Arabidopsis thaliana: one gene and its partners. The protein of the gene in region 1 purifies or fractionates together with the protein of each later gene. This does not show direct contact. Each region holds a gene or a part of one and is shown in the gene's direction. Other genes may lie near its edges.

Region 1 (3,758 bases):
TGGGTGGCTTGGTCGGTTTTTGTATACGTAAGTTTATGCCACGTGTCCTCTTATCCATGGATTGGACGGCTTGGAATCGTGGAATATTTTATTCTCATACCAAAGTCCAAATATATTACAACCTCCCCCTTTTTTTCCCTTCACAAAAAGCTAAAAGCCATTGCTTAAAAAACCAAGAAATACTAAAAGGATTTGGAAAAGTAGCAATCCTGATTTTGATTGATAGTACTATAATGGAACACCAGTAGTTGAAATTAGATACATAGGTTGAATGGAATTGTAACATAGGTTTATTTTATTCCCTTTTTTTTTTGTGAATACATGACAAAATGGTATTGAATTGTAAATGAACTTTTCAGAATTGTGTGAATGGCCAAAAAAATTGCAAAATATAAAAGACTATTCTAATATCGACAGAATTTACTAATCAAGATCAAACTCATACCAAAATAAATATAGGCCGTTCAATAAATAATTTCATTATGGATGTGAGTTTAACTTCATTATGGAGCATGTACATGGTTTGGGACACGGGAAAGGCGATAACATAACTTCTGCACTATACACCGTTTAAAGAGGGAATTTACCAGGGAAATTTGGTGCATGGTCAGATCAAATTTGGTCCATATGAGAGCTTGGACGGTAATAAAAGAAGGCAAGCGATAGAACATAACGAAATTTGGTAATGGGACTAGAAGAAAACAGCACGTGGGTAGGACATAGTGTTACACCCAAAAAGACAACAAAGCAACGAAGCAACCATAATTGTTTAGTCCTTTTTTTCTTTCTTTTGGCTTAAACGTTGTCTTTCCTTTTTGGCAAATAGTGGATTGCTGCCGAATATTACACTATCCAATCTTCTTCTTTAACCTCATTAAAACCCACTATTCATCATGCATTTATTTTACACATTCATGGTGAAACTACTTGGTATATATATGCAAATGAATATGCATGTGGATGGTACATGGCGTTTGATTTTGCATATAGGCAATTTATTGATCAATACTTGGTGTAGTTGGTACATTAAAGTTGCATTATAGACAAACAAAATTCGGCTGTCATGCTTGATTGATCTATAGATGATTTCATAATAAAAAAATATTGTCATGGATAAAAATAGTGAAGATGATAACAAAAAGAACAGAACACAAAGAAGAATCTCATTTCTTTTTTGATTAATAAAAGGATATAAAGTCATTAGTTTTTTTATTCGTCTCACTCGACACTAATAATAACTAAAATTGTTGGAGAATTAAAAGTAAGAAAGCAATGCTATAAAATAAAGTAATTGTTGGGAATGGAGCATGTAAAATTATCACTCATAACTAAAATTAGCAATGTTATAAAGTATTTAAGTAAGAAAATGTTGTAGATAATTTGTTAAATGAGGTGTCCCTATGTCTTTTAGGTGCGGTGAGTCCATGTGCTTATCCTGACAGCGGTCCAACTTAACCGGCGGTTCATCTCGACCACATATTCAACTGCTTTTTTAATATGATTTTCTGTATTTTCTTACCTGTCATAATCTACATTTAAACGTTAAAAAATGTCCACAATTTTATTTATTTTATTAGGGTACAATAACGACATTTGATTAGAGTAAAGAAAATAGTTGCAAAGCGGGATTTGAAACTCTGTCCACATACTTTAATTATCATTAATCAATAACAAGCATTATCAGTATTCAGCAGCAGCAAAGATGATAACGTTAATTATACTATCATGCAATTAAGTTAACTAATTAACTATCATCTTGTTTATGTTTTAATTTTGTTTCCATCATCTTCCAACCTTGAGTTTCGGTCACTATAAAAAGCCACCACTCTCTCTGCTTCTCTGCAACACATAACCCACTCACAGAAAAACCTAGAAAGCTCTAGAGAGAAAGAGAGAGAGAGATGGAAGGTAAAGAAGAAGATGTTAGAGTCGGAGCTAACAAGTTTCCGGAGAGGCAACCGATCGGAACTTCGGCTCAGAGTGACAAGGACTACAAAGAGCCACCACCTGCGCCGTTGTTCGAGCCCGGCGAGCTAGCTTCATGGTCCTTCTGGAGAGCTGGGATTGCTGAGTTTATAGCTACGTTTTTGTTCCTGTACATCACTGTTTTGACTGTTATGGGTGTGAAGAGGTCACCGAACATGTGTGCTTCCGTCGGAATCCAAGGTATCGCTTGGGCTTTCGGTGGTATGATCTTCGCTCTCGTCTACTGCACCGCTGGTATCTCCGGTAAGTTCACTGGTTTCTCCGATCTAACGATTTCGAATATAGATCCTGTGTTAGCTAGGTAGCGTAATTCAAATCTTAGCATGTTTAGGATTCAATCAGGAACAAATTAGGGTTTACAAACTCAGTAAATGGGGGACTTTGATGTTAGTTCCAGCTTTGTTCTGCTTGGAATCATTTGATTTGCAGATGTTTTAATCTGTGTTTGTGTATGTTATGACCTTTCAGGTGGACACATCAACCCAGCGGTTACGTTCGGTTTGTTCTTAGCTAGGAAGCTTTCGCTCACACGAGCTGTGTACTACATAGTGATGCAGTGCTTAGGAGCTATCTGTGGAGCTGGTGTGGTCAAGGGGTTCCAGCCAAAGCAATACCAGGCTTTGGGAGGTGGAGCCAACACCATAGCTCATGGCTACACCAAAGGAAGTGGTCTTGGAGCTGAGATTATTGGAACCTTTGTCCTTGTTTACACCGTCTTCTCTGCCACTGATGCCAAGAGAAACGCTCGTGACTCTCATGTTCCTGTAAGTTTATCAATAAAGGATGGATTTTGGTTTTTGTAACATCGGATCAAAATGCTTAATTGGTTTTGAAATTTTGACAGATTCTAGCACCGCTCCCTATCGGATTCGCTGTGTTCTTGGTTCACTTAGCAACCATCCCCATTACTGGAACTGGAATCAACCCAGCAAGAAGTCTTGGAGCTGCAATCATCTTCAACAAGGACAACGCTTGGGATGACCACGTGAGTGTTTCACTTCTCACCAAATTTACAATTCAGAGTAAGGTTTCAATTATCGGATAACTAATCTAGCTGTATCTTCTTCTCTCAGTGGGTCTTTTGGGTTGGACCATTCATTGGTGCTGCACTTGCTGCTCTCTACCACGTTATAGTCATCAGAGCCATCCCATTCAAGTCCAGAAGCTAAAGCTGATTGAGTTCTATTTAAAATCTGGCTTTTGTTCTTAGTTTGCTTTCTTTTGTGAATCTACTACCTGTGTGTAACGTGTGTATCTGTTGTCCTCTTCTTTGCCTAATGGAGACTTATGTAAAACAAAGACATGCCCCAGAAACATCTGTTATCTTTCTTCTCCATTTTATCAGAGGATTTCTATAATTGGCCCATTCTGGGTTTATCTCAAGCAGGCAACTTATCTTGAATCAAAGTGGACCAGACATATTTAATGCATTTATGTTATAATCTGCTACAAAAGAATAGTGCCATTACAAGTGAATCATTCATGCCAAATGTTATCTGACAAAATTGGCTCAAATTCAAGAAAACGACTCCTATAAATAAAACTAGGAATTGACAACGGGTAAGATTAAATGGCAATTTCAAAACCTGGAAAATGATTTGTAAGAAACAATTGTTAAACATAGAGCTATTCGATTATTCTAAGGATTATCATACAATGATACAAATAAAATGTGGCCATCGCGAACAGATTTCCAAACAATGTGACATTCTTTAAGCTTAGAATGAAACCTTTAGAATAAGATTTATTAAATCAAATTGAGAGATGCTTAC
Region 2 (3,758 bases), on another chromosome or scaffold:
ACAATAGGAGTATATATATGATATGACTCCAAAAGAATTGTTATTTAATTAAGAAAGTATTATAAGACAATACTTTTCGTTGTATTTGCGGAGGTAGGTGGGTTTCCAATTATACAGGTCTAAAAATCGAGGTTGGTGAAGCTTACTTTACAACAAAAGTCCTCCTCTATTATTCTACCACATGGAAAAAATTCACCAAAACGTGATTTACACATACTCTCACTTTATTCTAATATTTAATATTTTTGTATTCATATTTTACGTAGATCGTTTAATTTTCTACATGTCGAATAAATAAATAAACACTATTAAATTGACTTTAACGTTCAAACTTAAAAGTTTACTTTTACCAGCCTTTTTTCTTTACTGAGTAAATATTACCTGAAAAAGACATTTTTCTAACTTCAGTATTCTGTGTGTTTACGAAGAAAATGAAGATCTTCGTCACATCACATGTTGACCTCAGATCTGCCAATACCACTAGGCACTACGTTACTATTTAATGACCACATAATCAAATCTTAAATTGAAAAGACGATTTTGACCCTCACCGACTCACATGCATACAAAACCACCTACTCTCCTCTCCAAACCCCATGATCATGCCATTCTCTAGCAAATATTAAATACTTAATATTCTTTGATCAACCGAGGGCACGATGCAATAATAATAAATAAATTTGTTAACCATAACAACTCCTCAATCGTGTAGTTAGTTAATTAGTATGTCCACGAAAAAAGGTTTCAAAGGGAGGCTACCAACTATTTCTTGTTTATAAAAATGTGTGTTTAATGGCTCTTTTCATATGCTAAATTATAAAATTTGTGACAGAGAATATCTAAGACTTTAGTGGAATAACAAACTTATTTTTTCTCATTAGAAACTGAGAGTATCGAAAAATAACAATTTGTACACATTTCATTTGGCATTTTCAACATAAGCAAAATGGGCGAAAGAGTTGGATATGTTCTCTAACTATAATGTGATGTTAATTTGGATATGGTATCGATTAAGTGATCTAGTCAGGATGCTAAGCAAAGACCACCAATTTCTTATAATGTTGGGATAATGAATAGTGAGGCAAAGTGATGCTGTAGTTACACATATGATGAGTTGTCACTGAAATTATAACATAAACATAAACAAGGATATAGTCTTATAGAGGGTACGGTTACACATATGATGAGTTGTCATTGAAAATTATAACGTAAACATAAACAAGGATATAGTCATATAGAGGGTACGGTGACTTCGTGATTCTTAGTGATGATTGATGAATATGAACTAAGATTCATCCGCAAGTAACTTTAAAATCAGATTACTATGAAAATACAATTTTAATTTTGCGTTATCCGTTTTCAAGTGTTTCGTTTAAGACCGTATAAAGTTTTATTTAGCTTGGAGATATGTGAGAGACTATTTTTATCCGCAAAATTCATATGTTTAAATTCATCGTGAATACTTCCTTTGTGAAAAAGCTTTAAAAAATACATTATTAACATTTAAGGGGTTAATCACATAATATTGAAGCGGATAAATTGTTGAAATCTTCACAACATAGATGAAAATTTTGTGGTCGACAATGTTGACGTTGGTTTAATTACCTTTGCATTGTTAACACATAATACATCTTATTTACACCAGATGTACGACCATTTGAGTTTTGAAAGGTTAAACTATGAAAAACTATAGAGTTTCTTATTAAAATGTAATTACTCCTATCTAAAACACTGGGCTGAATCAAGATCATGGGCCCTCAAAGCCCTTTTTCCAATTTTAATTCCTCCGATTTATAGGGATTTATACAGTTTTTTTTTTTTTTTTGGAATCAATAGATTATATTTTTGTTTGTAATTACTTTTTATTTTCTACCAACAAATTCAATTTCTGATGTCAAAAAAATAAAAATAATCCGAGAGAGAGATTTACCCAACACAACCTTAAATGCAATTGGGCCTTAAGTATCCATCTAATCATAATTAATTAAGGGAAACAAATATTGGTAAGAGGGTAAAATAGTCAAAACACACTAAGCTTGTTCTCCTACCACACACACCTAACCAACTAACACCAAAATTAGCAAAGGAGGACAAATCCGTAATTTACCCCATTTTCTACTCCTCTTTTAAACCCAACCGCCTCTCTTCCCACTTCTCACTCTCTGATCTCAGATCTCTCCCTCCCTCTTTCTCCGATCTCAGATCCATTCAACAATCTACAAAGAAGATGGAACCAGTCTCTTCATGGGGTAACACCTCTCTCGTCTCCGTAGATCCAGAGATCCACGACCTAATCGAGAAGGAGAAACGTCGGCAATGTCGAGGAATCGAACTTATCGCTTCCGAGAATTTCACTTCCTTCGCCGTCATCGAAGCTCTCGGAAGTGCCTTAACCAACAAATACTCCGAAGGTATTCCTGGTAATCGTTATTACGGAGGTAACGAATTCATCGATGAGATCGAGAATCTTTGCCGTTCAAGAGCTCTCGAAGCTTTCCATTGTGATCCAGCAGCGTGGGGCGTTAATGTTCAGCCGTATTCTGGATCTCCGGCAAATTTCGCTGCTTACACGGCTTTGCTTCAGCCTCACGATCGTATCATGGGGCTTGATTTGCCTTCAGGTGGTCATTTGACTCATGGTTACTATACATCTGGTGGTAAGAAGATCTCTGCGACTTCGATCTACTTTGAGAGTCTTCCGTATAAGGTGAATTTCACCACTGGTTACATTGATTACGATAAGCTTGAAGAGAAGGCGTTGGATTTCAGGCCTAAGTTGCTTATCTGTGGTGGTAGTGCGTATCCTAGGGATTGGGATTACGCTAGATTTAGAGCTATTGCTGATAAGGTTGGAGCTCTTTTGCTTTGTGACATGGCTCACATCAGTGGTCTCGTTGCTGCTCAGGTATATTATAAGCCTATTCTCATTTGTATTGATATTGTGTTTCATGTAGATCTGGTTTTGTTTTAGCATTATGAATTGTTTAGAACGAAGATCTGCATTCATTGTGTCAAGTCTAGTGTTTTCAGGGTTATCAAATGTTCTTCTTCCCAAGAACGAATCATATCACATTGTTAAAGTCGTTTGATTTTACTTGTGCCGTCTCATTTTAGTCTCCTAGTTTATAGTTTAACTCCTATAAGAATGTTTAAGTGAACACAGGATGAGATTCAATTCTTTTCAGTAACTAAAACCAACCTATTAGCCTGATGAAGTTTGGGGATTACTCTAATGTTACTTGCCAAGATTGAGTTTTTTTTTTTTTTTTTTGCATTCACCGACAGAACTGATTGAGTTTTAATCATATTTACAGGAAGCTGCAAACCCATTTGAGTACTGTGACGTTGTGACAACCACAACCCACAAGAGTTTGAGGGGTCCAAGGGCTGGTATGATTTTCTACAGGAAGGGTCCAAAACCACCAAAGAAGGGTCAACCCGAGGGTGCAGTCTATGATTTTGAGGACAAAATCAACTTTGCTGTATTCCCTGCGCTTCAAGGTGGTCCTCACAATCACCAGATTGGTGCTCTAGCTGTTGCGTTGAAGCAGGCTAATACTCCTGGGTTCAAGGTCTACGCAAAACAAGTGAAAGCCAATGCTGTTGCCCTTGGAAACTACCTAATGAGCAAGGGTTACCAGATTGTGACCAATGGAACTGAGAACCACCTTGTTCTCTGGGATCTTCGCCCTCTTGGATTGACCGGTGAGTGAATTATATCTCAGAGAAAAAAACCCACTTTTGCGACCCTATGGTTT
Region 3 (3,758 bases), on another chromosome or scaffold:
AGCAATTGGGATCTCTGAAAATTTAAGACGACGAAACATTAATGTCAACCCATATTGTCCACGATGCTGCAATGAGGTAGAAACAAATAATCATGCAATGTTCACATGTCCACAGGTGAAACAAATATGGAGAGCTTCAGGAATTCCCACACATGTACTTTGAGCCCAGACGAGACAATGAAGAATAAAGTCCGCTATTTATTAACGTTGCATGAGGATACAAAGGTTGAGACAACCGGACGACTTTTACCATTTTGGCTAATGTGGCGTATTTGGAAGAGCCGAAATGATTTAGTCTTCAACAAAAGAGCAAAGGATACAACTGATATAGTCAAACAAGCGTCCCTCGACACAAAGGAATGGCTAGATAACATGCGACCCCCAGAAAGAAATACCCGAGACCAACTATCATCTACATCGAGAAAGGCTAATTGGCAAAAGCCTCCAGTAGGATGGGTCAAGTGTAACTACGATGTCTCTCACTATGAAGGAAAGATAACCGCGGGTCTTGGCTGGATCATCAGGAATTCACACGGCACATGTATGGACTGCGGAATGGGGAAATTTCAAGGACGCCAAACAATTGAAGAAGGAGAATGTACTGCACTCATTTGGGCTATACAATGCGCATAGGGACTTGGTTATAGGAAGGTAATATTCGAGGGTGACAGCGTCACTGTTACTAGTATCATCAATAGCATAGAGCCCAATCCAAGATTACGACATTATCTTGATTTCATACATCAATGGCGTAAAGCTTTTAACTTCATCGAGTTCAAATTCCGACATCAAGAAAACAACGTCTATGCTGATGTCTTGGTCAAGACAGCTACCAAGAGTAATACAAACTTTGAGTTATATCGAATATGTCCTAGGTTTTTATAGCCGTTTGTATACAATGATGTAAAACATTTGCATTGATAATAATATTGGAAGGAAAAAGAAAAAAATCTAAACGAAATAAAAAATATTAATTCTATATTTCTAAGTAAACTCTTATTCATTATGTTTAATATTTTGTTACTACATTTATACTCTAAAACTTCAAAAAGTATTTAAGTTAATTATCTTATGCTTTTGCTGATAAAACAAAAAGTAAGAAAATAATTCTATAGGATTTTGTTTACTCACAAGTGTAAAATAATTCTTTATGTTTTGTAGTCAATTTTAACAAACTTTAATTACAATGAAGTAACTAACGTCATTACATACACATCTTGTACAAAAAAGAAATATCAAATCATCTCTCTCTTAACTTTATTGGATGAAAGTTCACATCAACAAAACAAACAATAATTATTAATAATTTGTATGTAGTAAAATCTTATAAATACAAAACTGTAAAGCAAACTAAAAATTATGGAAGTAAGAACATATCAATTATTATGTCATGTTAAAACCGATTGCACCATTTTATTGTATCTATGAACATCATCTATTAGTTTTTTTTAGCTGGCAAACAAGATCCTAATTTTTGTATAAAACTTTAGCAATAATGCATTACAAAAACCTTCTGATTGTCATAAAAGATTAAATTAAGAAATAAGAATGAAGACTAGAGAGAATAAAACTCGAAACAAGAGTTTTCTTATTGCTTTCTCTTTCTCTTCTCTTTTTCTCTGTTTTCTCTATATCTTATAAATGAATGAAATGAGTTATATATAGTAGAGCTTACTTAGCTAGGAAGTAAATTACTTAGAGAATAGTAATGGATAAACATCATCCATATCTTAAAGATGAAGTAATGGATAAACATCATCCATATTTTAAGAAGGAAATAATGGATAAACATCATCTATATCTTAAGGAAGAAATAATGGATAAACATCATCCATATCTTATGGATAGAGATGAATGATGGATAATGACATCCATACTTATCCGGTTTATAACACTGATCAAAATAATACCATTATTCTACGTTCTCTAATCGTGAATCCTCATAATTGAGATATACAGTTTTATTTTTTCTGAAGACAATAATCTACACTTAATATACTTGAATAAAAAATTTATTTGTCTTACCATAAAAAGAAAGAGTAAAATATTGATTTTGATCTCAACAAAATCATATAACCGAAGCCGAAGGATGTGAAACAAATGGGCTTCTAGTTTGGGCCCAAATAGCCTAAAGCGAAGATAAAGCCCATAAAAACCTAAAATGTAAGCGAGCTTGCTTGTTGCTCCTATAAATTCATAAACCCTAACTTCGTTTTCCTCTCGCAGACGCAGCCATGGTAAATTCTTGATCTCCGCCTCTCAATCTCCGTTTCTTATGTATTACAAAATGAATTCTCCGTTTGCGAGCTTGATCTAGTTGGTTTAGCGTGTAATGGTTCCTTAGGTTTCTGATGTTTCGTTATGGATTTGCATTTGAGTGTTTTATCGTTGTTGTTATTTTAGGGTATCGATCTTATCGCAGGAGGTAAGAGTAAGAAGACCAAAAGGACTGCTCCTAAGTCCGATGATGTCTACCTAAAGCTTCTCGTCAAGGTAACAAATATTGACATGTCTTTTACTTATGTTTCTCTGTCTGTTACATTTTGGTTTATTGAGATTTGTTTGTGTTTTTGATAAATTTTGTAGCTTTACCGGTTTTTGGTGAGGAGATCTAACAGCAACTTCAATGCTGTGATTCTGAAAAGGCTTTTCATGAGCAAAGTCAACAAAGCTCCTCTTTCACTCTCTAGGCTTGTAGAGTTCATGACTGGCAAGGTTCGATCTTTTTGAGACCCATCTCTCTTTATATACATCTTGAGTCTGTCCTTGGTCTTAATTTGGAACCCCATTTATTTTATTTTCATTCTGTGAAGTTATGAGTTTTGACGTTGTCCTGTTATGTTAGTATGTGAGAACAAATGTACAAACTTGATTTTGTATCTTACTATTCAGTGATGGTTAGAGTACTCAAATGTTGTGGTTTGTCTATTTATTAGGATGACAAGATTGCTGTGTTGGTTGGAACTATCACTGATGATTTGAGAGTTCATGAGATTCCTGCCATGAAGGTTACTGCCTTGAGGTTTACTGAGAGGGCTAGGGCTAGAATTGAGAAAGCTGGTGGAGAGTGCTTAACCTTTGACCAGCTTGCTCTCAGAGCTCCATTGGGACAGAACACAGTAAGTAAAATTTTACACTATCTGAATGTTTAGGATAATTCAAGTTTATATATGAAACTGAGCTGTGTTTGATATGTTGTGACAGGTTCTTCTTAGAGGACCAAAGAACTCGCGTGAAGCAGTGAAGCATTTCGGACCTGCTCCTGGTGTGCCACACAGTAACACTAAGCCATATGTTAGGCATAAGGGAAGGAAGTTTGAGAAAGCTAGAGGAAAGCGAAAGAGTCGTGGATTCAAGGTCTAAGAAGATGTTTTCTGGTTTCGTTTTGCTTGGTTTAAGTATCGAAGTTTTGGTAGGGAACGCTGGTTCCTCTTTACCCTGTTCCAGACTTTGTTTTAAGTTCTGTTTTTCTATTCTCAAGACAATTGGATATTTTGCTTTGTCTTTTAATCTTACTACTATTAGCTGCAATGAGATTTTATCTAGAATTTGGATTTGATCAGTATTTGGAGTTCATAGTATCATTATGGTCTATTTCGTTTTGTATTTCTCTTCCTTGGAAATAAAATATCTGTACATGAGTATTAAAATGTGTAAACAACCCTGAAAAATGTTCTGTTTCGTACTAACCCACCTAATTCGTTGTCTATTAGGTTCTAGCAAAAATCGTATATCCATAATCATAATGAAGCTTGTCA

What was found.
Region 2: the proteins of PIP1B (region 1) and SHM4 purify together in Arabidopsis thaliana (affinity purification with mass spectrometry, with the first as the bait; one large-scale study listed by BioGRID). This does not show direct contact.
Region 3: the proteins of PIP1B (region 1) and AT5G27850 purify together in Arabidopsis thaliana (affinity purification with mass spectrometry, with the first as the bait; one large-scale study listed by BioGRID). This does not show direct contact.

Annotation. Positions count from the first base shown.
Region 1 is NC_003071.7:18,908,549-18,912,306, forward strand, and holds PIP1B (plasma membrane intrinsic protein 1B), read left to right. Parts: upstream 1-1,746; 5' UTR 1,747-1,901; coding exon 1,902-2,229; intron 2,230-2,454; coding exon 2,455-2,750; intron 2,751-2,830; coding exon 2,831-2,975; coding exon of another isoform or gene 2,976-3,031; exon of another isoform or gene 3,032-3,059; coding exon 3,060-3,196; 3' UTR 3,197-3,434; downstream 3,435-3,758.
Region 2 is NC_003075.7:8,048,491-8,052,248, reverse strand, and holds the start of SHM4 (serine hydroxymethyltransferase 4), read left to right. Parts: upstream 1-2,091; 5' UTR 2,092-2,227; coding exon 2,228-2,905; intron 2,906-3,314; coding exon 3,315-3,705; intron 3,706-3,758. UniProt on the Arabidopsis thaliana protein: Catalyzes the interconversion of serine and glycine with the conversion of tetrahydrofolate (THF) into 5,10-methylene-THF.
Region 3 is NC_003076.8:9,870,935-9,874,692, forward strand, and holds the start of AT5G27850 (Ribosomal protein L18e/L15 superfamily protein), read left to right. Parts: upstream 1-2,132; 5' UTR 2,133-2,234; coding exon 2,235-2,237; exon of another isoform or gene 2,238-2,403; coding exon 2,404-2,493; intron 2,494-2,586; coding exon 2,587-2,715; intron 2,716-2,936; coding exon 2,937-3,119; intron 3,120-3,204; coding exon 3,205-3,363; 3' UTR 3,364-3,758.